Linked DNA regions of Drosophila melanogaster. The gene in region 1 interacts genetically with each later gene. Each region holds a gene or a part of one and is shown in the gene's direction. Other genes may lie near its edges.

Region 1 (4,973 bases):
GCCAACTCTTTTGGCATTTATCAAAACAAAAGAGGAACAATAGCTGGCAGGCGGAAATGGAAATAACTGCCTTATCCCTTCTCTCCTAATCTTTCTCTTCTCTCCTCTCTCTCTCTCTCTCTCTTCTGTCACTCGTTTATCCTCCTGTGACGCTGCGTCATCATAATCAGCGTTTGTCGATTCATCAAAGAAACCGCCGCCGGTTGCTCTCTCCACTCTCTCTCTCTCTTTTCCTCCATTCAAGGATACCGAAAGAGAGAGATCGAGAGAGTGCCCCCTCTCCTTCACACTTCCCTCATGGGTTTCCTATGTAAATCATTTAAAGGGAAATTGTTGCACAACTTTAACGAGTTGATTGGAGGGGGAGGGGTGAGGCTTACTGCTTGTGGGTTTTCCCGGCGCAACCCTCATTCCCCCAACCCACTCGCCCACTTTGGCAGCTGTCAATTAGAGCTTACAGGGAGAAAAAATGAAAACCCGAAGCTTCCATATGTTAGCTGTCCCTCCCACAGGTCTCCGCCCCCAACAGCTGTTGGAAAATGAGATTAGGAGGTGGGGGGTAAGTGGGGACCCAGCTTTATTGGCCTGTAATTGATGCCCAGGCTGCCAACCATATTGCTGATTGAATTGTGGCGTTGTCGCTGCAGAAAAGAAGAAGGGTGTGGATGCACAGTCCAGAGGACTGACTGCTGACGTCGCCACCGAAAGCAGAACCCGTTCAAGCTGCAGTTAAGCAAGTCTTCTGCGGGGAACCCCCGGGGACACAGACTTGTCGAACTCGCATCCTGCTGCGCTACATAAACCCCGAAAGTCCATGCCAGATTTAATGACAAAGGCCACCGCCCATTACAATGTTGCTTAACTACCATAATTATAAACAAAAATATAATATTATGTTTAAGGCTTACCTTCTCTTTACTTTTGTGCTTGGGGGAAATTGCAATTCTTTGAAGCGCTGGCTTATTTACATAAGAGTAATAGGGAATTCACCAGTTTAGTTACCTTTTGTTTGGTTGCGCTTTTCAAGTCTAGGTTTTCCTAAGAATTGTTCTCCATTCCTTATTTTCAGCATGCTGGAAACCATATGCTCTCTTTTGATCCTTTGGTGGAAAAGTACCCCCCGTACCTTTTCTTTGGCTCGGCTAAAAATGTGTTCAATCCACGCAGCCATTTCCATCTCGTTCTATATGTGTGTAATTAAGTCTGTCCACGACGCAAGTTTTCCTCAGCGCCTCTTTTTACCCGGCGGCTGCCCAACTAAACCACTTTGGCCCATTCGCACATCGCAACCCCCTCTCCTCGACCCACCTCAACAAAAAACAAAAAAAAAAAAAAACTATTTCACAAGGTGCCCCTTTGCCGGTTCTTGGCCTCCCTTTTGGCTTTCTCCGCCCCTTCCTTCTGCTTTCTGCTGCCGACGCAAATCCTTACGTGTCAAATGGAGCCCCTCACACTTTTGGATGGCGCCCGAACAGGGACATCCACGTAAGCAATCAAGCACTTAATCGGCTATCCGACGAAGGATTACCCCTTACTGGAATTATTCATACCGGATCATAAATTTGTACAGATAAGACCAGTTTAGAGACAGTACTATATAGTATAGTATAGTAAGTGAAAATCCCTAAACATTTACGTTAAGGTCGAAGCAGAGGATACCCAGGATATTATAGGGTAGCAAGGGAAGGAAAAACCAAAACAACAACCACAGAGAAAGTAAGCAAAAATAATTTCGCGATTCGTCCCCCGGGCAGAGCCCTAAAAGTCGCAATTTGAGGGGTGGAGCCCTTCTCTGGAGCGGCAGGAAGTGGGTAGTGGAAGAGCGGAGACCGGGCTTGCGCAGGCGCCTGGAAGAATCCGAAGCCGAGAAGAGCGGCGAGTGTCCGCTCTCTTTTTTCGGCTCTGTGGCAACAAAGTTTCGGTGCCTCAATTCTTCGATTCAGAGTCTCCACAAACGGCTTCGCGAGCGGACGTTGCAGCCACAGAAGATACAGCCACGGCCGTCGAGGAAGTGGCAGCTACAGAAAGCCAAGATATATATCTGCATATACATATGACTGGCGAAGCTGCTGCGAAAAAGGTGCAAAACAAATTAAGATGCATAAATAAACACCGGACTCGCTGGCAGGTGTTTGTGAACTCTGCTTGTGTGTGTGTGAGTGTGTGTGCGAGTGCGGTGCTGTGCGGTGAAATATTACGAAAGAAAACCTTTTATGTTTTGCAATTTTCCCGCAAACAAATCAACGAGCATAAATATTAATTTTGGCTACACCCAAAATGAGATGATGGACAATAACAGCGGCAAGAAGAAGCGCTTTCAGAAACTTGTTTTAGCCCGGTTTCGGATTTCTCCGTCTTCCTCTTCTCTTCTCGGCGACGTAGTTAACTAAGAGCCGTCGTATTAGACGTTAGTTAGAGAGTGCGTGTAAATTGTCGAAGGGATATTGTGTTTCCCAAAGCCCCATCTGAAATATGTATTCTCACTGTTCATCTCTGTAATGAAAGCTGTGAATTTATCAAGTTACTAATCGGTATTGTGCGGATAATGGCCATCAAAACCTTTTGAGCTACGTTTTTCGATTTTACATTAGGCAAGGGTATCCGTAGGATCCATTTACTCGCCAGCTGCAGAACGAAAATCCATTCAGCAAAACTGTCTCTCCCTTTTCCACTCGCTGAGCAATCCATTTAATAACTTTGGAACCGGCTTGTGTTTGCTTTAATTTGTTGTTGTTTTTTGTGGATTTGTTTTTTGGGTTTGGCAACGAAAGTTGCCAATTAGGTTTAATTTTAGGGGGCTTCGTAGAATTTTCAGCAAAGTGCGTAGAAAAGGGTTTCGTGGTGTGTATCCGTGTGGGCCAAAAGTGCGCTAGTGTGCGTGTTGTTTGTGTGCGGGGCCAAGTGCGTATCTCCCAAATGTTTTTATTGTTGTTTGCTTTTTTCGTTCTTTTGTGGTTTTCATTTTTCGACACCCGAAATGTGTTTGTCTTGTTTTTATAGTTTGCTCTCTTTCACGCCGCTTTTTGCGTAGTTTAAAAGTGGAATCAAGTAAAAAACAAAACAATTACAGTAGAGCCTAGATGAGGAAGTTCTGCGTGCAAGAAACATAAAGTTACCAAGTTGCTGTACAAGCCTTTCCAAGGCATTACAAAATTACTTAAAGCAAAATAAAGTTATTTAGTTCACTAGTTAGTCTCCACTGTCAATATTTGGACAACACATTTGAATGGAAAGTTTCAAAAGCGAATTAAAATATAAACGTATGAATGCCGGGCAGGTGTGCGAGTGTGGTGATATGATATTTTTGGTACGTGATTTTATTCGACCATGCTAATGGCTATTGTGTTCTCCCTCTACTTGCAGATTCTCTTTTAATTTGGCATAAATTGTATTTGTCTTGAAAAAAGCATATTCTTGTAAATATATCCTCTTCGTAAAATATTTTACTTAAAAGCCTTAAAATATTGAATTCACGTGAAATTTCAAACGGTGTCACTCGAAATTCGCCAGTGACTCGCCGCCACGTTTTGTACAAACATAGTTTGTAAACATAAGTTTGTAAGCGGCCGGAAAAAGGCGAACGGAACCCAAAAACCCCAATGCAAGCCAACTGAGTGCAAGGGAGACAGCCGACCACGTCGAGCGGGATAGCATGCGCCAATGAAAACGTCCTACCCCCCAAAAGCGTCCGATTTCGTTGACTACGCCGTTGCCGGGGGCGGGGGATCCGGATTCTGTTCGGGATTAGGAGCGGGACTTTCAGTCAGGGCGACGTCCTTCTACGGCGATCAAACGGTAACGGCAACTACGGACGGGACGCGTCACCAGGAACAACAACAACAACAACTGCAGCAGCAGCAACAGCAGCATATCCTAAGGCAACCTGCAACATCCGCATCGACTTCATCGGTAGCTGCAGCAGCAACCAGCAAGCGAAAACGTCAAACAGGTGAGTTTTTTATTAGCCATCCAAATAGTTACTACAGACGTGCACTAGCTTTATTTGTGACTAGGCTTTCGAAATCCCCACCTATAGGTGTCAAAAGGTTTGAATTCGATGTCGATAACATGTGAATTCGATATATTATGTTATGCAGGCAGTTTTCAGTGTAAATCGGATTCGGATAAATATAAGTTATCGGATAAGTTTTTGCTTAGCTAAGCACCTTCAGCAACCACACGAATGAATCATGGGTAATATGTCCGGTTGATTGCCCCTTCCCGTGGTGATAGCACTCATCGATTATTGTGACAATCGCTTAATTTGCTTGAGTTATCGTTATCACACACGCGCCGTGGGCAAATGCGCCCTGTTGTTTAGTAATACTAGGCGCAATATTTATTATTATTGGTTGCCGTGCCATATTTCTGCCTCTTCTGGGCACTCTTATCGCCCGATTTCCCCCAGCGCCTCCCCTTTTTATTGTTGATTATCACAATAGACGCCATGGCAACTTTTTTCTTCTTTATTTTTGGTTTGGTTGGTGAGAGTGCAAGGAAGCGATAATTCGCATGGTGGTTTGTCGCCGTTTTGTATTTTTTGGGTTTGTGGACATTCTTAGACTTTGTTTTGTACTTCGGTTGGTATCTTTGGATTTTCCACGCTATCCGCGATTACGCTTGCATGCTCGAGCATGTCTGTCTTGGCGCTTGAAGAAGATTCCCTTCCATAATCCCTTTAAAATTTGCGATGATGTTTTCGCTGCTCGACTTGCCTGGCTTCATTCACATTATCTGCTCTGTGAATAGTATGAGTTATTGTTTGATATCTCACAAGGTCCCCCGCACCCCTGTTCCCCGAGCTCATTGAAAATTCCAGCGGACGCAATTACCACCCCAATTGTCTCCCAATCTAAGTTTTCGCTTTTGAGCGGCTCCGCCTCTTTGCTCGACTGTATTTTCAGTGTTTCCTTCGCTTTATTTATTTTTCGCTTATTGCGACTTATAAAAATATTTCAGTTGTTGTTTGCGCT
Region 2 (7,824 bases), on another chromosome or scaffold:
CAAACACGGCCAATTTTGGTCAATTCGCAGCGAGTCGAATCAAATTGAATCGAATTCGAAATATCCGCCAATTGGACAGATCAACACGATAAGCCGAAATCAAAAGCAGCAGTTACCCGATCCGTACCAGTGTGCCTCGTACAATGGTTTAAAAATAGCTCGGCCAAATCATGACACCGATCACCATCCGTAAGTTTGGCCGCCAGCGGTGGGCGTTGGGCGGCCGACGGCGAGTGGGAGTGGCAGTGGCAGTGAGCGGTACACGGTACATGGTACGCGGCAAAGCGTGAACCGTAAACGGTAAACGACAAAACGGAGACGTCGCCACTTTGGCCATGAGTAACGATGAGTGCTCAATTACTTTTCGATTGATCATGGTTTTGGCGCGCGGTGAAATTTAGACCGCCACCCCGCAGTTGCGCCTACCCCCTCTCGGCATCCGCATTCTGTCGACCGGTGGAGCGTAGTCGGCAATCATGAATGAATCGCCGTGTCTGCGAGCGTGAGAGCCCGGCTCGCGGTTGAACAAATCGTGTCGTCATTGACGGCTGTCGGCGGCCGACGGAGCGTATGAGTAATATTCTTGTGAAATTGAACGGAAATAACTGAAATTCATGCCAACCCCCATAAATTGCCGACTATTTGCGGGGGTTACTTCGGAACGGAACAAAACGGAACGGAATGGATCGTTTCGCTTCGGATCGGAAACGATCGTCTCGGAATCGAAATCGGAGAACGGGAGATCCGGAGAAACGGTGAATCGGAAGTGTGTGCCGAGTGAAAGTCATTCGATAAGAGCCAAGTAGCCGCTCATTTCGTTCCCCAGAGACCGGCAAATAGGCAAATTACACATGTTTTGTTTATCTGCGAGCGGGAGAGACAGTGAATAGCTCTCCCAGCGACCTTATCTGGTGGAGATCGGCCCAGTCGACGAATCGATCAATCACTCCACTCCAGTGCGCCGATTATGTGTCATCCCCCAAAGGGGAGCGCTGGAGAGCTGTGAGTATTTCTCATCGTGTTGAAATCTAGCTGGCCTAATCATTCACTAAACGTTTGTATTTTTCACGCCCATTACGACTGGGTAATATTGGTAATAAATCTATTATGTTCGGAATGGCCGTAATATAGAATATTTATGACATTTGTTACTAGTTCACTAACCAAATATTGGTCTCAATCGAATAGCTATTGGATGATTGTACTTGTTGTTGCCTAGTTTAGATGTTATCTCTCATATTTAGTATTATTAAAGTTAACTAAAGTTAGTTAAAGTTATACTTTTCTTCTGCTTTTTTCCATGCTTTCTTCAGCGTATCTTATTGCTCCTAGTTGCTAGTACCCTGGGTACAGGGTAACCCATTGTCCACACCCAGCCGCTATGAGTCGTTTTTGTTTTTTTTTATCGCTCAGCTGTGCTTTTTTATGGCTTTCTCGCGTTGTTTTTGGCACTCGGCGAATGTTTTGAGCGCTTTTCTTGCGATTGCACACTCATGACAGCCGAGAGAGCCTCTCCCTGTCTCTCTTCCGCTTCTTTGGCGATTCGAGCGGAGCGAACATGACCGGCGGACTGGGCGTCCGCCTCCTCATTAGTATGCTCATAGTAACTGAGGAGTTCAGTCAGTCTCCGCCGGCCACAAAAACAAAAAACTAAATATATATACACACATAACCACTGCACGCGAAAAGGCGAAAAAAAAGTGAAGAAACGCTACTGCAAAAATTGTACAAAAAAACAACGCAAAGACGGCGAGAAAGCCACTCCAATCCACTCCACAACACTCCACTCCACGCTCTCCAGCGGCAAGAAATCGACAGCGCTGTTGACTTCGACTTCGATCGAATCGGAATCAAATCATAGCAGACAGTCGAAGGCAGCGCGTCGACACTTAACGCGATAGTTCGTCCAGCCGCGATATAAAGATACAAAGATACGCAGCCAAATTCAACAAATTCAACAAATTCGACAAAGTCGCCTGATTCGCCTGATTCGCCAAATTCGCCAAATCGCGATCGCTTTTATTATTGGTTAGTTTTTTTTTTCGTTTTTTTCCCCGTTGCATTCTGGAAGCTTCTTTCCGGCAAATACACACAAAGAAAAGACTAACAGCGTTACAAAAGCAAAGTGCGTGTCAATCAAGTACGAATTTTTGTGCGGAATTCCCAGCCAACGATTTTTATGTAAATGGTAAGTACAAGTAACTACCGCAGGCGCGTATTTTTTCGGGGATTTTATATTTGCCTTTTCTGCTGCCGATAAGAGAATTCACCTGTGCGTGCTCGGTTTGTTGATAGGTACAGGTGTCTTTCGCTCGATACTTCTGAACCCGCAGAGTTCTTGCCAAGAGCTGCAATGGTCAGGTGAGGTGTCACGTACCCCACACATGATGAAATTGGCCCCAAGGAGGAGGTGTGATGGGTTTAGGGATTGGAGATGGGGATAGGGCTCACAACCGAAAGGGACCATCATCTCCAGCCTCTCATGGGGGAAACTCATTCGTGAATCACTGACACTGTTTGGTGATAGGCATTGAAAACAAGTTATAAATTCATGATGCACAATATGTTAAGTTCATTTTTCCACATGTGAATCATAGCATTTTAAAGTTATTACAATTATGAAAAACCCAAAGTTATTTGAAAACCTATGGACGTTATTTTCGGATGAGTATGACTAATCGTACAGGGGCGACTTGCATTTATTTGCTATTACTATTCTAACTTATTGGGAACTTATTGTTCCATTCAACCACACAACTTATGCAACTAACTTAATAGTTATTGCAACTGTAAAAAAAAACCCTTTTGACGAAAAATGGCCAAAAAAAGAGCGAAACATGTGAAATTAATTTACACGTTTCGTGCCGCGGGGGTGGTGGTGCCAGTGGTGCTGGTGGTGCTGGTGGTGCTGGTGGTGCTGGTGGTGCTGGTGGTGCTGGTGTTGCTGGTGTTTGGCAGGAATTGAAGATTGGATGCGTCAGCGGTTGTCACTACAAGCGTTAGCGATTCGGCACAGACAGGAGGACAAGGTCCGGGCAAAGGGACCGCGATAAAGAGCCGGAGAGCGAAAACGCACGGCAAGAGAGAGTGAATTTCACAAAAGTTTGCAAGACCAATGTTTCGTTGACCATGCTGCTCGATGTGTAGGAGGCGTGTGGAGCGATTGGAGCCTACCCCACCAGACAATATGAGATAGCACCGCCACCGCCAGTGCGGTGGCACCACTATCACCACTACCTTTGCAAGTCGACCTCCACCCGACACACGATGATTCATGATAATTTGGCTAAATAAAGAAATTTATTTTTAATTTGAAATAATTATTTCAGCCAGATAAAGACGGCACTAGCAATGGCCGTAGCTGTAGCTAAAGCGCAAACGATAATAATAACAAATCGCGCATGCTTCGGGCCCCCCAAACAATTGCGATTATATTTATATGTGTGCGTATGGGTTTGCGCATAAGTGCGTCCAGCGGGAATCCCCAAGCAGCCAACAATCATCATAATTCGCCCACTCAGGCACTAACACACACAAAATAACACAAAACAATCGCACCACAATCACACATCCGTACCATCACGTGCGCGAATTTTGGTTTATATTTGGCAAAAGTTGGCCAAGATAATATATAACCAGTCGGTTCAGTTCAGTTGTCCGCGCAGCGTCCGTTAGTCTTGACTTATGGTAATTGGTCCCTCGGCAGGGGGAATACATTTGGCCAACCGAACCCTCTTTTCGGCCAAAGTTTGAGTATGTAAATAACTGAAAATCGAACATACGTATTTGATTTTTTTTTTTTTTTTTTTTTTTTGGTAACTAATAATAGTATAACCTGTTGCTAGACTTTTCTCATGCTAAACACCGACGACGTCTGACGAAGATGTGACGTCAAGAAGTCGTAGTGAAACTCGAGCCATTATGGGTGGGAAAAAAATGAAACTGTGTTATCTTGAGGGCTTTGCGTGTTTGTATAAATTTTGTTTAGCTTATTTCGGAACTTTTTCCATCCACAGACGACAGCTGACCGCCCGCTCGACGTCAGCAGGAGCAGCGGAAGCGGTAGCCGGAGCGGTAACAAAACGGCCAGAACCAGGAATCCAGTGGAACCGCAGCCGCAACCGCCGTTCGTGGATCGACGACGACGCCTGAACAGGAACTGGTCACTGATCTTACTCGCCTTGGCCATGTCCCAGTTTGCCCTCTCCGGCGGCGGTTGTGGCGTCTCAGCGGCGCCCAGTCACCTGGCCACCCCGCCCACTGACAGCCCCTCCAGTCCCATCAATCCCACCAATCCCCTGAAGCACCTACAGAAGCGTTCCAGAGCGGCCAACTTCCGGCTGACCTTCCAGCAGAAATTGAATGCCAGCAGTACGCATCTGGACTGGGAGAACACCTGCAATCTGAAGCCCACGGGTCTGAACGAAACGCACAGCAAGGCGAAACGCTGCAAGAAACGCCAAAGGGTAAGTTTCAAGCGAAAGTTGGCTCTTAGCTGATAAATAAATTGGCACAACTAATTCACACACTATTATCTATATGTATATATGTATTTGTATCTATTTCAGATCCTGCAGAATCTACAGAACCAAACGGGCCGCGAGCTGCGGGGCATCCAGGCCGAGGACAAGGCCAGGATCACCACCAATGCGGACAAGCTGGCCACAGTGAGCACCAAGACTCTGGACATTGTCGAGAAGAACAAGTGGCGATTCTATAAGGGAAACTACAGATTCCTGCCCCGTCTGAATCTCACTAGCAAACAGGTGAGTGTCGTCCATATGCCATAAGCATAATATATGTATGCATATATCGTCATGTGAAGAACTACTGGATCATTTACAAACATCAAACACTCGCGGGGGGTTCTTCTGTTGCCAGGGAGCTTGAGGTGATAAAAAAGAGGGTCACGTGAGGCGTTCGCCCCGTTCACCTGCGTAGGTGCAAACAGGCCGTCACAAGCTAATGGCGAGTGGAGCGGTCATATGAGTCCGAATCCGAGGGAATCGTGCCGCCAGCCGCGAGAGTTGTTGCCATAGTTTGTTTGCGTGATTAAGGGAATTTATCAATCTATATAGAGGGGTATGAAGGAAACTAAGGAAATAAAGATTGAGATATGTATATAGTTCATATGTGCTAGCTTGATGATGGAGTTGTTTTGACAACACTTCCAACAGCAACTTGCATTGAGCACTTAAGTGCCGCCAACTTTTCGATCGCACCTCGTTCGTTTTGTCAGCATTAGCCGGCATTTCGGGACGCCCCATTAACCGTCGATTTGCATTGGTAGCAAACAACAACAGCACGAGGGAAAACATTAGCAATCGATGCCATAACCACATTAAGATTAAGAGCAAATTGACGGCGCGCGCGCTTTTTTTTTCGATTATTGTTTATATAGATCCATCGCGATCCCCCCCAAACCGGCCTTGATCCAGCGATCACGTTTTATGGCCAATCCGTAGATTGGATCGATCCGAATTGAGGCTGAAGCTGAAGCTGAAGCTGTATCTGAATCTGAAAACGAAGTTCAATCCGAATCTCAATTCGTATCTGAAGTGGATAATTTGTTGAATAAACAAAATAAAATCAAGCGGCACATTTTATTTACACTTTTGACAAGTAAACAACAACAAACAGAAGCTAATCAAATTTCGAATTGGATTCGCCACGGACATCTGAATTATGGCGAGAGGAAAATTATGGAGCTTTTCAATTTCGAGACCCTCGAGTTGCGGACAGTTTGATGTTAATAGAGTGGAACCGTTTAGTAATGCCAAATTGTCGGGGTCTGGGAATTCGGAAATATTTTCGCACTGACACGGTGAAATGAGCAAGACCAGTTGAGGAAAAACCCGGAGTGACCGATAGGCCAGTGAATAATGGAAGTAATGGAAGTAATATAGAATGTGGGCTCCGGAATGTGGATGGCGGTACTTGCGAAATGATTGCCACGGAGTACCAGTCGATACGTGACCAAGTATGACAAACGCCGTGCACTAGAAAGGGTCTAGTCCACATTTCAATGAGGTGGATGTCGCTTCGTGAATCGGTCGAGATCGGCTTGGTTGCCCCAACGTGCTAATTCCTTGGTGTCCGGGAAAGTTTCGTATAGGACAGTAATATCTGCAGATAACCAGATGAGTGTAGTTCACTTGGCGTGGCCATAAACAGATACTTTTATGAGATCGCAGGTGCGGCGAAAAATCTCAAGTGTGGTCAAGATCCGCGAAAACCGCCGACTCACTTCGAGTCAGCCAAAAGTCGCGTTCAGAGTGCAAGTGGAGTCTCAAAGGTCGCCACCCCCTGGGAATTTGGTTTTTATTTTTTTTTTTAATTACCCGTTCTGCTAAACTTAGCCAGTCCCATCATAGTTGCCATTCCATTTCATCCATTCATTCACTTAGCCAGCGATTCCACTCAATCGTCTATTCAGGGCGATGAGCAAAGTTTGGCTTTCGCTGAAATTTCTCAATTGTCGTCATAGTCTGGGAAAAGTACCTGGGCCTCGCGGATCACACTGTGAGAAAATGAGGGTAACAATTGACTGCCTTCGCTGCTTATAAGTACTCTTTCGTGTTGAGTTTTTCAGTAGATACCTTTGATCACACACTACTCGATTCGACCAGTCGATCCACCTTTTCTCACTCTGCACCAAGCTCGGGAACTTGCCGCTCGGGATGTGTGTCAATATTTGGCCAATATCGGCTACGTCAATGCCAATTGTGCCAACTAATTGTTGACATCCCCGGAACAGAGTGAAACGGAACCCCCAGATCGGAACCCGATCCGACGACGAGGTGGCAAACGGGACTGATAGAAGAACTCTATATTTAGATGGATCGTTTCGATACCGAGAATCGACGGCCTTTTGACGTCATGCATTCGCTCATACCCACCCAAAAAAAAAAAGGAAAACAACGAATTCGCTGATACCGCAGCGGATCGGTTCGGAAGAAGAAATGACCTTAACGATAATATGTTTGAGTAGTTCACAACGCTCGTTTATTGCAAATGACACACACACGCCGTTTGTGGTCGTTGATCGGGGGGATACGGGGCGCGGAGCGTATACGCGATATGTGATTCATATGAAACAGAGCCGTGGATTCCCCCGAAACTCCAGCGAGAGCGAGCGGGAGCGGGAGCGGGAGCGGGAAAGGGTGAGCGGCGGCATGCGGCGAGCGCGACATGAATGAAACGAAGAGCCAACGTCGACGTCACGAGCGGCCAGCCGAAGCGTAGCCGAGAACTCAAAAAACAGTTACGAGAGAGCGGCGCGAGCGTTCGGCTTGATTTTCACTTTCAGCCGCCGGCCAGATAAGTTTCTGGTCGTTGGGATGAGGGGAGTGTGTGTGCGATGGGAGGGGGGGGGGGGGGGGGTCCGCAAAGGGGCTGGTGGGCTCAGTTCACTCAACCCAAAAAATTCGAACTATAGGATCGACTATATACACCATATGCGATATGGATATCGCAATTTCCGCCAAGGTTTCGCCGTTTCTAATACTTTAATTTTACAATTGGGGATTTTTATTGCAAGCGAGTGCAGAAAAAGGTTTATTCAATAAAGATAACCCCGACCTTCATTCATGGCGATACAAGTAATTAAGGCGTTAAATACTTAAAAATATCATACTTTGCCATATAATTGTTTTATTTTCAATTCTATGCTGATATAATCAAGGATTATGGAGTTGATCTCCAATATGGGTTGGGGTAACTATGATGATTAAGTTGGGAATATATAAGTTTACAAGTTCATGGACAGTTAATGATATAAATAGAGCACTTAATTTAATCTAAAAACTAGTATATATAAAATGG
Region 3 (5,027 bases), on another chromosome or scaffold:
CTGTTTTTTGGCACGGTTTCTTTACCTAGTTTGTATACAATTTTGAAATTATTAAATATTATTAATATTAATTTTTTAAAAACATCCATAACGGTTTTAAACCTCTGTCGTCAGCCTTTTTTAAACTTTGAGTACATAACACATATTTGTAAAATTTGTTGAGATATATTTTCTGAAAATGTAACATTTGTTTGTATCCTTGCAAAAATTATATCCTAAATATAAAATATATATAAATATATATGTTAATTTCAACAAAAAGTGTAACTATTATGATTTCGAAACCTAACATTTCTAGGTTTGTTAGTTCCCGGAACTACTCTGCTAGTGATCAGGAACATGTATTCTATATATATATACTAAATATATATATAGTAAATATATATATATAGTAAATATATATATACTAAATATATATGTACTAAATATATATATATATATACTAAATATATCTATTCTAAATGTATATATATACTAAATATATATACTAAGAGAATATATATCGTAAAGGCTTCCATCTAGCTGTTGCATACTTCTATTTTAATTGTTGTTTACTATAAAAGCTAGTAGGTTGATATTCACCGTACAGATCCTAGAGACCAAGACGCAGCGCCACATTGTTGACTCATGTTGCCACGCCCACAAGCCGCACAAAACTTCCACGCCCACACTTTTGAAAAACGTGTTGATATTTTTTTTATTTTATTTAGATTTATTAGTCTTGTAAATTTCTATCGATTTTCAATTTTTGTCACGCTCACTTTAACGCTCTAAAGCCGCCGAACCAGTCACTCCCACGCCTTGGAACAATTTTAAAATTTTTTTTCATTTTACTCCTCAATATCTATTGACATCCCAGAAAAATTATGAAATTTCACATTCACACTAGCTGAGTAACGGGTACCTGATAGTCGGGGAACTCGATTATAGCATTCTCTCTTGCTTTTTTCTTAGGTCGAGTCACTGGACTTTAGAGGCCTTTTTTAAAATGCATGGATTTAAAATGTATTAAAGTAGGTTTTTTATTTGTCTAAAAAACTTCTTTGTGAAAAGCGAAAAATATTTATATATATATATACAAATATATTTTTTGTTGACAACCGAAAATAAACTTTCTTCGAAGACATATTAATACTAACGAACATAATTATGAGCAAGTAAACAGTTGAATTGGCCAATTAAGATTAGTGATAAGAAGTTTTACACATCTTTAATTTAGAATCAACCGATTTTTTCAACCGTTTTCAGTGAATAAATAAATTTCTAATATATATCCTCGAAAAATGTAATTTTCAAGTACTAATTTATAAAAAATATTTTGATAATATTTTTTAAATCAAAATGTTAAATTATTTGCTTTAAGTTAAGGTGGTCTAGAAAATTTAAATTTAACTCAAGCTTAATATAATATTGTTTAGTTTACTGTATTCCGTTGTTGAAGCCCATACATATATATATAAATATATATATTCGTAGATATGATTTGAAATTACATGGCGCCATCTATATCTGAAGGCACTTGAGTTTTGCACGTGTTATGTTGCCAGGTAAAATCCAAAAAATTTAACATACATACACAAAATATGAATAAAATTAAAAAATGGGTTACTTTTAATCTGGAATTACGTATAGAAAAAATGTAAATTAAAGTCAAATTTGAAAAGAGTCGTACCAACATTGGATGCTATGAATATTTTCATGTAAAATATTTGTAAAAATACATCATTTTGCGATTTTACTTGTAAAAATGTAAATTTACGCAGCAGTAAAATTCACATTACACAGAAGTACATATTTTTAAAATACAGATTAAACAACTTTATTATTTCTTAAGAATGAATTAAGAATGAAAAAAAAAACAAATTTAATAGTATCTATTACTTTTTTTTTACAAATTCGTTACAAACATGTGCTCGATACAAAGTTTGTGCGCAATGTTTCTCACGCAGTTATTTTCGAGCCGATGGCTCGTCCTTGTCTCTCTTGTTCCGCGTCGTACACCTTTATCGTTAAGTTTTATTTTTAAAGACCGAAAGAGAGTAAATCAGACAATTGTTGTGGCAGTATATACAATTTTGCGAAAAATCTATCTAAAGGAATCAATGCCTAAAAATAGTTGAACAATTTCCGGAAAGAACAATTTATGAACACAAATGAAAAAAATAATCTTTATTCGATTTGTCCATTAGAACACAAGTAGAATAATAACACGAAGTGTATGATGAAATCGAGTGTTTACATATAAAGTGTATTTATAAATTAAATATAAGTTTTAAAAATAGGATGTCATCTTTTGTTTCCATAATAATACTAATATAGTGTTGATCGATTTAGTAATATAAATATGTCGGAATAAATGGAGATAGTATATAAACCGATTATTGACCATATTAACAGTGAACTAAATAAGTAAAACAATTGTGGCTTCCTCTAACACAATGTGGAAATTACAATTAACAAACAAATAAAACAAAAAAAAATTACGACCTCATATTGCAACAGTCGAGCAACAGGGTAACGTTAATTAAAATGAGATTTCTATATAATTAAAAAAATGAAAACAACGCATGGATTCTGGATTATAACATAAATATTACGCTATCTAAATCTCATTAATATTGCAAGAAAATTTTATAAACAACGAACCCTGTATGAAATGTTGAAAAGTTGTACAATGGTGCTTGAAAAAGTACTAATTTAATTAAATTTGAGTCATCAAGGTGAACTAAGATTCTAAAGGTTAATAGAAATGTTTAAAATTTTGAAATACAATTTATCCAATAAATAATATAAATAAAATATAAAACAAAAAGTTAACGAATGACTAACACCGAACGGATTTTAACAGCAGGCTCCCACAAAATCCGATAATGCCACACTGTGGAACAACTAATAGTGAAATTAATTTAAACTCAAACGAATTAATCAGTTACCAGAAAAAGAAGAGCAATGAGGATCTACAAAAAAAGCACGATAAAAAATGTTCAATCAATTTGAAAACGAGCCAGGTCCCTGATGGTGGGTTCAATAACCAATATACGCAATTAACTGCCAACAAAATAGAACAATATAACTGCAATGATTTGGATAAAGTTTGTATTGTACCATCAAGTAGATCAGACGGAATGGAGGCATCGTTTTCCGAACTTCTTTTAAGTCCGAATAAATTAATTTCTCAGCCTTGGCAAACCGCTGAAGAAATAGAAAATTGGCAAAATGACAGTTTTCGCCAACGAAATGAAATGTTTTCTTGTATATATACGAATAGTATGCTAAATCAGCAGCCATGCTCGCAGCAGCAGCTTTTGGCCACACAACTTTTATACGCTCGGCTTCTTCGGTCTCAGCTAGCTGAACGGGAATTTCATTCGAATAAATTCAACATGGTTCATTATTCGGGATCTAAAAAGACCATGCTTCGAGAAGATGAGCTTCTGTCAACCCCATCTTCGCAGGATAATAATAACAATATTAAGTTAATTAAAGATATCGAAAACAGCATAAGTTGTGTAGATCCCCCTTTGTTTGAATTTTCTAACGTTCATCAAAGAGCAGAACAAAAAAATAAACAAGACGACAAAAATTGTTACTCACCAAAATTAAAATCGAACAAGGAAGCCCTAGATGGGTACGACTTACAACACACGTGTGATTTTATCAGGGAGCAAAAAAACATTCTTATCGACATTAAAAAAAAACTAGATAATCTCTCAGATAGCTCAGGTAAATTTAGGAAAAGGTTAAGTGTACGTCAAAGTCACATTGAAGTAAATAATGGCTCTAATTCAGCCCTTGAGGAAAGTGTAAGACGACAACTAAATGGAAATCGCAAGTCTATTGAAAACTTACTGGAAGAGGTAAAACGATTATATAATCAATGGAGCAGCGCTGAGCTCTATTATGTTCGCAGCTTACAACGATTAGGACTCCCATCAGAGGAAGATGGTGAATATACATCTACACCAACACATACTATCATGGCATTAGCTGCTATAGCACTGTCTAATGAAAGTATTTTGCCACAGAAAACAAATGCAGTGCACTCTAAGATTCCAGATGTTGAAAGTGAGTCCGATTTTTTTTTGACCTCAGCAAAACCTAAAACGTTGGTCGAAATAGAAGATATAATATTACAACTCGCATCATCTGTTAATATGCATCAATCCAGCTCTGCTAGCACCCCTCATGAATCCTACAGTGATAGTGTTAAAAGCGATTGCGAAGAATCAAATTCAGCACCCACTTGCATATGGCATTCGACAAGGCAAACCTTTCGCCACAAAAAAGACGTAGAGCCTTGTAGCACTGCAGCTGAGATTATTTTAGAATATGCTTCATTGTCTTCATCTTCTAACATTGAAACCTCTCGCTTGCTTACATCTGCATCAAATTTAACAGATGTTACAGAAAATTATAATGTCACAACGCAATTGCCTATTGTGTTTAATTACAATCGAGAAAGTTCAGCTGAGTCAATCGTTACCGATCCTCTACTTGTTCCTGAGTTTTCTACTGCACCTTCAACCCCATCGACTGGTAGTAATAGTGGATGCTCTACTGGAATGGTTTCTGGAATTTTCGGGCTAAGTCAAAACCGAAGAAAACAAAGACTTGCAAGGCACATTGAAACTCTGACTACAAATTCTTTTAAATCGAATGCAATAAGGGGAAATGTTGACAACGAAATCACTAATCAGCTGAAAACGTCGCCATCAATTAGAGCATTGCCAACTGAAAATGTTTCCCATTTAATTACTAAGACATTGTCTTCGGCTAATGCATCTTTAACAGCGCAGGAACTTTCCATAACTAACCTGTTTAAAGAGCGCCTATGCGCTTTACAGGGAAATGCCGGATCAATGAAAACTGAAATTTTTCCAATGATAGATGCCCCATACGACTTAAGTATTGGAAGCAAGACAAAACACATGTAATTTTATTTCGCCTTACTTGGTTAAACCCTTTATTTCTTTGTAAAACTGTTGAAGTCGATGCTCACTCCTAATAGTACCTATTTTCTTTAATGA
Region 4 (7,693 bases), on another chromosome or scaffold:
CGAAGTTGCAGCTGTTCCTTGTGAAAAAGACAACAACACCGGCGTTTAGCCGTGCGAGCGAAAGAGAGGGCAGGAAAGGTGCGTATCAGAGGGTGGATTTCAGGGACCAGGGAGCGGTATAAAAGGACGGGACCTCGCAGAGCAGAATATCACTCACGATTACGCCGTCGAGCAGGCAGCAACAAGCCGAATACAAAATTTTTCAAAAATTTTTAAAACTACGTAACCTACTACCAAAACAAAAATGGAATACACCACCAAGACCCAGATCTACCAGAAGGTGAAGAAGCCAATGCTGGAGCGCCAGCGACGTGCCCGCATGAACAAGTGCCTGGACAACCTGAAAACACTTGTCGCCGAGCTACGAGGTGATGATGGCATCCTGCGCATGGACAAGGCCGAGATGCTCGAGTCAGCGGTGATCTTCATGCGCCAGCAAAAGACACCAAAGAAGGTGGCTCAGGAAGAACAATCCCTCCCCCTGGACAGCTTTAAGAATGGCTACATGAATGCCGTCAACGAGGTGTCACGTGTCATGGCCTCCACACCTGGCATGAGCGTCGACCTGGGCAAATCGGTGATGACTCACCTGGGACGCGTCTACAAGAACTTGCAGCAATTCCACGAAGCACAGTCCGCCGCCGACTTCATCCAGAACTCGATGGACTGCTCCTCAATGGACAAGGCTCCGCTCAGCCCCGCCTCCTCCGGATATCACAGCGACTGCGACAGCCCCGCCCCCTCGCCACAGCCCATGCAGCAGCCCTTGTGGCGCCCCTGGTAAAAACAAGGGGTTAAGTGGCAGGAAGGTAAGGGTGGAGTGGCAATGGGAATGGAAGAACCAACCAACAACGCATCTGTGATAGCCCAACTGTGATGGCAACAAAATAGCAAAATTAAAAAAGCAATTAGCAAAACAAATATAAACCAATTTAAACAAATATCAAAACAATTTACTTTATTGGGATGTTGGGAGGGGATCTAAGGGACCAATCCCTTAGTTGGTGGCAATTGGAATCCTTATTGGTAATTAAATTATTACCAATTAGGAAATATCAAATAATATATCTCTGCTCTGACAATGGAAATCTATTTTGGCAATGACCGAAGTGAAATCTATTTTATAATAATAAATATTTATTTATAAATATAAATAAATTATATTTATTTATTTATATCTATTTAATAATAAATTAAATATATTTCACTTAATTAAAATAAAAGTGTTTTAGAAAACTAGCACTGATAATTTTAAGTTTTTTGAATCGGTAATGTCCTTAACGGTTCACAAGATTGAAAATAGCAAATCAGACTGAATAATAATAAACTGAATAATTATTTATTCATTTTTAAAAAGCGCGCCAACTGCACCTGAAGAACATGTACAGATCTAAGTTACGTATTTATTGCGGAACTTTTTTCACTTTTTTTTCAAGATCATGGCAAAAAATGAGTGTTAGCATGGAATCTATTTAATTAGTTGTTCTGCAACCGTAGTGTTTGTAAATAAATAATTTAATACGTAATAGTTCTTTGAACATTAGGATTATTATTTCGCAGAGTGTAACTAGTTCGATTTCAGCGCAGGCACTTCCTAACACTGGCGCATGCAACACTGCGCCGCTGAAGCGAGTGGCCCGCGATAACAGACCCTCGACACATCGATAGGCGATAGCGCAAATTGCATACCTGAGACCGACGCGGTCTGTGTGTCGCGGATAGGAAAATAGGAAATTATAAATAGAAACGGGCCGTGCCGATGCCCCAAAAGCCACCCAATTGCCAGCTGCCCCAATCGGCGAGGATACCAAGTGCTACCGAGGTGAAAATCGGCGTGCCGAAATTGTTGCAAAAATATTTGAGACGAGAACGCCATTTACAAGCCGCGTTTGTACAGCGAGTGCGCGTGTAGTAGAGCCGGAGAGAGAGCCGCTGCGTGTGTGTGTGCCTGTGAGAGAGCGAGAGAGCGCCGCCGCCAAAGCTGCCCAACACATACACGAATGTTAGACACTTCGCGGTCGGTCGGCAGAAACAGGCAATTTTATACGGGCGAAAAGTTACAAAAAATAATTTTCCCACTTTTCGGTGGCGAAAACGAAGAAACTGTAAAAAATGGACCAGAGATTTAAGTGCAAAACATAGAAACATCTTGCGATAAAGCGTGCTAATCCGGGGCATAAAACTGGTACTGCCATTATCTCGCTTTTTTAATTGCTTTTGTTTATTTTTTGTATAGGACACAGTATAATTTTTCTTTTGCGCTGCGCGCGTGTGAGTGAGTGTGTGTGTGTGATTTGGCCACTCGCTGGTTTCTATGTATGTGCCCGTATCGCCGAACAGAGTTGCCGCCTCCAGGGCAAATCATAAAAAATATATTGGCTGTACAATTGAAAAATATTGAAAAGGGCCAAGCAAGTGAATTATATGCGGATAAGCGGAAAAATAACAAACAATAAACATCAAAGTAATGTGCAAACTGTGTTTCTGCTGCTGTGCGCGTTTCAAACGGCATGGCAACCCTGTTTAATTGCAGTCTGTCTGTATATGTTCGCATGTTGTTTGTGCGGAGTGTGCTGCCTTTACGAAAGAAAAGTGTTTTATTTTCATTGGATTAATCCCGCCCGGTTAACTGCACAATCGGATTAGTGCGTCCAGCGGCCCCCGAAAATCAAACAGTGATTTTGCGTAACAATTTCATGGGCCACATGCAACTGTGCGCTTGATTTTTCGGCGGTAAACACTCACACTCGTACCCTCGCTCCCGTTTCCTGTGCTAGTGTGCGTGTGTCTCGCTGGCTCAGCGCGCCTGTGTGTGTGCGTGTATGTACGTGCGTGCGAACGTATCGAAAAAAATGGTGCAAAAATATGAAAAAGCATAACTAAGCAAATATGTTGTTGTAAAATTCCATTCGCAGGATATGCAAAATGCGAAGTAGCCCGGACATGGAGTGCCACTAAGTGCCGGTTCCGTTTGTGGGAATACTAATAAAGCGGATCAACTGCCATCGAAAAATATTATTAAAAAAAAAAACAGAAGAAAAAGAATAGCTAAAAAACAAGTACCATAAAACGCTGGCAAACAGATAGATATTAGTCCACGTTTTGCAAGGAGTTTCTGTGCAGGAGTGGAGTGCTCAGGGATAACCGGAAGGAAGGAAGCGGCGTACGCAGCAGGAGGAGCAGCAGGACTTCCGCTCCGGCAAATCGGTGTCCACCTCGGAACTATCGCTCTTGCTCTAGCCGGCAACATACCAGCCTAACAACATGTATCCCTCACCGGTGCGCCACCCCGCCGCCGGGGTAAGTTCACCCGACAGTGGGTCCCACCTCTGACCCCCGAATCCGTGCTAATTGTGTTTATGTCTCTTTCCACCACGCCGCGCCATGTGCCGCCCACGTACGGAACACCAACCACCTCTATTCACATCTAAATAGGGACCACCACCTCAGGGTCCAATCAAGTTCACCATCGCCGATACACTGGAACGCATCAAGGAGGAGTTCAACTTCCTGCAGGCGCAGTACCACAGGCAAGTATCCGGTGGAATACTCTATACACGGCAATGTTTACATATGTAAACATTACGCGAATCATATTTACAAGGGATATACAAGGTTTATCATTATAATTGTGAATACAAGGCAAATCTTTACTATAAAGATTTGCAAGGAAATATTTGCCATCATAATGACACTCTCTGCAAATGTCATCTTTGTAATTGCTATGTCAAGAAAAAACTACATTGAATATTGGCCCTAAGAACTATTGGCCCACTAAAATTGCTATGATCGCAAATTTATGTCAGATAAAAGTAAAATTCTTCACACTTTCAAATAATCCAATGGCATAGTTTTCATGGGTTAAGCAATACGCAATTAGAGATTAGGCCCCAATAATTAAGTTGAGGTTAAACCTATTAGAAGCCTTTACAATAACATGCCCCAAAGAAATCACATTTTAAGCCTTAGCCTTAACCGCCATCGTATGGAAGTGTGCGAGTGTGAGTGTGGATGGATGCTGCGTCTGCGTTTTGCGAAAAGTAAAACAAAAAGCTGAGCAAACCGGTTTGGCGCGCCATATGCGCCGCTGTCATAGGATTAACCTGCGCCGCCCCAGCCGCAACTCAATGCTCCATGCTCCACAATCGCCGCTTCCTTGCGTTCTTGAATTCAGTTCGCTTCCGTCGTCCAACTAATTTGCCCGTTGATCACTTTTCCTGTGAATTCCAGCATTAAATTGGAGTGCGAGAAGCTGTCGAACGAGAAGACGGAGATGCAGCGCCATTATGTTATGGTAAGTCGTCATGATCCGCAAATTATCGAGATCCCTTAGCTAATGCCACGGCTTGCCTTCCAACTTTCAGTACTACGAGATGTCCTATGGCCTTAACGTGGAGATGCACAAGCAGACCGAGATCGCCAAGCGGCTGAACACACTGATCAACCAGCTACTTCCATTCCTTCAGGCCGACCACCAGCAGCAAGTGCTGCAGGCGGTGGAGCGGGCGAAGCAGGTGACCATGCAGGAGCTCAACCTGATCATTGGGGTAAGTCGATCGAGGACGGATGATGGATTCTGCGGCAGCAGCAATACGGTTTCAGCCATTCTCAGATAGACACTAATGGGGGCATGGCCGATTGGAAATTCGGTTGCCACACCGAAAAGGCAGAGAAATTTAGTTTGCCGGGTACTTTGTAATACAGTCTTTCAAAGAATAACAAATATCTTGAAAATTGTATAAAAAATAAGAAATCTAACGTATATATGAAACAGTACATATCATAAATGTGGCAACCGTTAAGTGGGAACTTCGTTTCGGTTTAGTTTGTTCCTTGGGCCGCATTTGATTTGAGTTTGTTTTTCTACTTCCTAATTTGTTATGATTTCGCATTCGACCAATCCAATCCAAACAACGTTGTGCAGCATCAGCAGCAACATGGAATTCAGCAACTTTTAGTAAGTTTGTTTCGTTGCAAGTTAATTTCTTATTGTTTGTTTACTGTTGCCGTCTGCCGCTGCATCCGCCGAATGTGCCACTGCCACAACTACAACAACAGCTCCAGTGCCTCACTACCTCCTCTTCCTTTTCTGATTGTCAACGTTTATATTATTTGAATAACGCTTCAAATGCCGCCAATTGTTGTTGCTGTTTCCATTAACCCCAGATGGTCTTTGCTTATGCTTATGAATCGAAAGATAAATAAATTAAATTTTGATACAAAATAAAAATATGGCAAATACCATTTAGTGTTAATGTCGTTGTTGTGTTTACACACATATGTACACACATTTCAATGCTTTCATATTCCCACTAAGCACGATGTTCATTATTCCGAAAGCCAGCAACGCGCACGCCCGATTTCATACGATCTCATGGTTCCATTGCAGCAACAGATCCACGCCCAGCAGGTGCCAGGTGGACCACCTCAGCCGATGGGCGCACTGAATCCGTTTGGCGCCCTGGGCGCCACCATGGGCCTGCCACACGGACCGCAAGGTCTGCTGAACAAACCGCCCGAACACCACAGGCCGGACATCAAGCCGACGGGTCTAGAGGGGCCAGCAGCCGCCGAGGAGCGATTGGTGAGTACCACGCCCTAGATCAAAATTCTGCATATTTCAAGCTAATTTTCATGCTGATCTTGCAGCGCAATTCGGTTTCGCCGGCCGATCGTGAGAAGTATCGCACACGCTCGCCGCTGGACATCGAGAACGACTCGAAGCGTCGAAAAGATGAGAAACTGCAAGTGAGTATCGAGCTTTTTTCAGTGTTAGCATTATACACTTGTAGTATCATAGATCATCGCGTTGATGGTGATTGCCATAACCGATTACTGTCATCTCATCTGAGCTGTTGCTGTCTCTCAACTCACCAGAAACTCAATTCCGTAGTTTACCCATTGTTGTTGTCTAATTCTGCTAACACTCTACCCCAAAATCATGCTAAACAAAACCTAAATTGCTAATTTTTAAGAGACAAAAAAAACATCACGATCTAATGGTGCCTGTTCCGGTTTTCAATTTCTAGTAGTTGGTTTAAGGTGTATCTCAACTTATAGAATTTTGTTTCTAATATTCCACAAATTGTAAAGCTAATGTGTAAATGTAAATTGGAGATGATTTATAATTATGACTGGTTTACTTTGTTTTAGATTATAAATTTTAATAGTAGTGTGGAACATGTGTAAACTATATACATTTTCTATGCTTTTAACTAGTTTTATTTCTTTGATTTTATTGTCTTACTTAAAAAAGGAACACTAATCGTAACTTCATGGTTTGTTTGCGTTTTTAAATTGTTAACCATGTAAAATGATGTGAAAACCAGAACAGGGCCTAAAATTTAGATACTAACTATTTCTATTGTGGTTGTTGTTATTGCTGTTGTTCGTTGTGGGTTTTTGTATGAATTTTGATTTATATTGTTTTTGTGTTTTTTTCAAAATTATTTCCAGGAGGATGAAGGCGAGAAAAGCGATCAAGATTTAGTCGTAGATGTTGCAAATGAAATGGTGAGTTGAGTGTCGGCCCAGATTCAATGCAACCACTCCCAAATTTCCCCAAAAAAAAAAAGAAACAAAAACCACACCTTTGCTATTACATTTATCATCAAATGCAAAAACAGTACTTAATGCATACATGTGCCTTGCAGGAATCCCACTCACCGCGTCCCAACGGCGAGCACGTGTCTATGGAGGTGCGCGATCGGGAAAGCTTGAATGGCGAGCGCCTGGAGAAGCCAAGCAGTAGTGGCATCAAGCAGGAACGGCCGCCCTCACGCTCCGGCTCCAGTTCGTCACGTTCCACACCCAGCCTCAAGACAAAAGATGTGAGCCAAATGTCAAATGTCGAACCCAGAAAGTGTTAGAGCTAATTGAATCTCGTTCATTTAGATGGAAAAGCCGGGTACACCGGGCGCCAAGGCACGCACACCGACACCGAACGCCGCTGCTCCGGCGCCAGGCGTTAATCCTAAACAAATGATGCCGCAGGGACCACCGCCAGCCGGATATCCGGGTGCACCGTATCAAAGGCCGGCCGATCCCTACCAGCGTCCACCGTCAGATCCAGCCTATGGACGACCGCCACCAATGCCGTACGATCCGCACGCCCATGTGCGAACCAATGGCATTCCACATCCCTCGGCCCTAACGGGTGGAAAGCCGTAAGTCATTTATGTCAATTTACGGTCCGAAAAGTAGACTATAGGAATTTTGTCGTGCATTGTTATTAAGTATTTAAAGTAATTCAATGCAACTGATTAAAATGCAAAGTGCAATGTAGTCGATTGGAGATGATAAATGTATGAATCGGCACAGATAGGAGTATATAATATCGCTATTTCTACGAACGTTAAACGTCTTATCACTAATTAAATGGTTACATTAATTAATAAACACATTTTGCCGTTGCAGTGCATACTCTTTCCATATGAACGGCGAGGGTAGTCTACAACCGGTGCCGTTCCCGCCGGACGCGTTGGTGGGTGTTGGAATTCCGCGGCACGCCCGTCAGATCAACACGCTGTCGCATGGAGAGGTCGTCTGTGCGGTAACCATCTCTAATCCCACAAAGTACGTGTACACGGGCGGCAAGGGCTGCGTCAAGGTATGGGACATCTCGCAACCGGGCAACAAGAATCCAGTTAGCCAGCTGGATTGTCTGCAGCGCGACAACTACATCCGCTCGGTG

Evidence for each region.
Region 2: of Hipk (region 1) and upd3, changing one enhances a phenotype caused by changing the other (phenotypic enhancement), as found in Drosophila melanogaster (one study listed by BioGRID).
Region 3: of Hipk (region 1) and pan, changing one enhances a phenotype caused by changing the other (phenotypic enhancement), as found in Drosophila melanogaster (one study listed by BioGRID).
Region 4: of Hipk (region 1) and gro, changing one suppresses a phenotype caused by changing the other (phenotypic suppression), as found in Drosophila melanogaster (2 studies listed by BioGRID).

What each region holds. Positions count from the first base shown.
Region 1 is NT_037436.4:544,119-549,091, forward strand, and holds the start of Hipk (homeodomain interacting protein kinase), read left to right. Parts: upstream 1-1,940; 5' UTR 1,941-2,080; intron 2,081-3,363; 5' UTR 3,364-3,660; coding exon 3,661-3,949; intron 3,950-4,973.
Region 2 is NC_004354.4:18,275,418-18,283,241, forward strand, and holds the start of upd3 (unpaired 3), read left to right. Parts: upstream 1-1,815; 5' UTR 1,816-2,185; coding exon 2,186-2,188; intron 2,189-4,016; coding exon 4,017-4,466; intron 4,467-4,568; coding exon 4,569-4,766; intron 4,767-7,824.
Region 3 is NC_004353.4:88,344-93,370, forward strand, and holds the start of pan (pangolin), read left to right. Parts: upstream 1-2,011; 5' UTR 2,012-2,870; coding exon 2,871-4,930; intron 4,931-5,027. UniProt on the Drosophila melanogaster protein: Segment polarity protein. Functions together with arm to transduce the Wingless (Wg) signal in embryos and in developing adult tissues.
Region 4 is NT_033777.3:26,040,080-26,047,772, forward strand, and holds the start of gro (groucho), read left to right. Parts: upstream 1-1,656; 5' UTR 1,657-1,822; intron 1,823-2,000; exon of another isoform or gene 2,001-2,185; intron 2,186-2,561; exon of another isoform or gene 2,562-2,733; intron 2,734-2,740; exon of another isoform or gene 2,741-2,824; intron 2,825-2,915; 5' UTR 2,916-3,264; coding exon 3,265-3,300; intron 3,301-3,435; coding exon 3,436-3,530; intron 3,531-4,230; coding exon 4,231-4,294; intron 4,295-4,364; coding exon 4,365-4,547; intron 4,548-4,924; coding exon 4,925-4,957; intron 4,958-5,389; coding exon 5,390-5,584; intron 5,585-5,649; coding exon 5,650-5,748; intron 5,749-6,456; coding exon 6,457-6,513; intron 6,514-6,653; coding exon 6,654-6,830; intron 6,831-6,894; coding exon 6,895-7,166; intron 7,167-7,416; coding exon 7,417-7,693. Other genes in the region: E(spl)m8-HLH (enhancer of split m8, helix-loop-helix), read left to right, coding at 245-784. UniProt on the Drosophila melanogaster protein: Transcriptional corepressor that regulates transcription when recruited to specific target DNA by hairy-related bHLH proteins. Maternally required for neurogenesis; in the segregation of the neuroectoderm. Directly or indirectly interacts with Notch and Delta.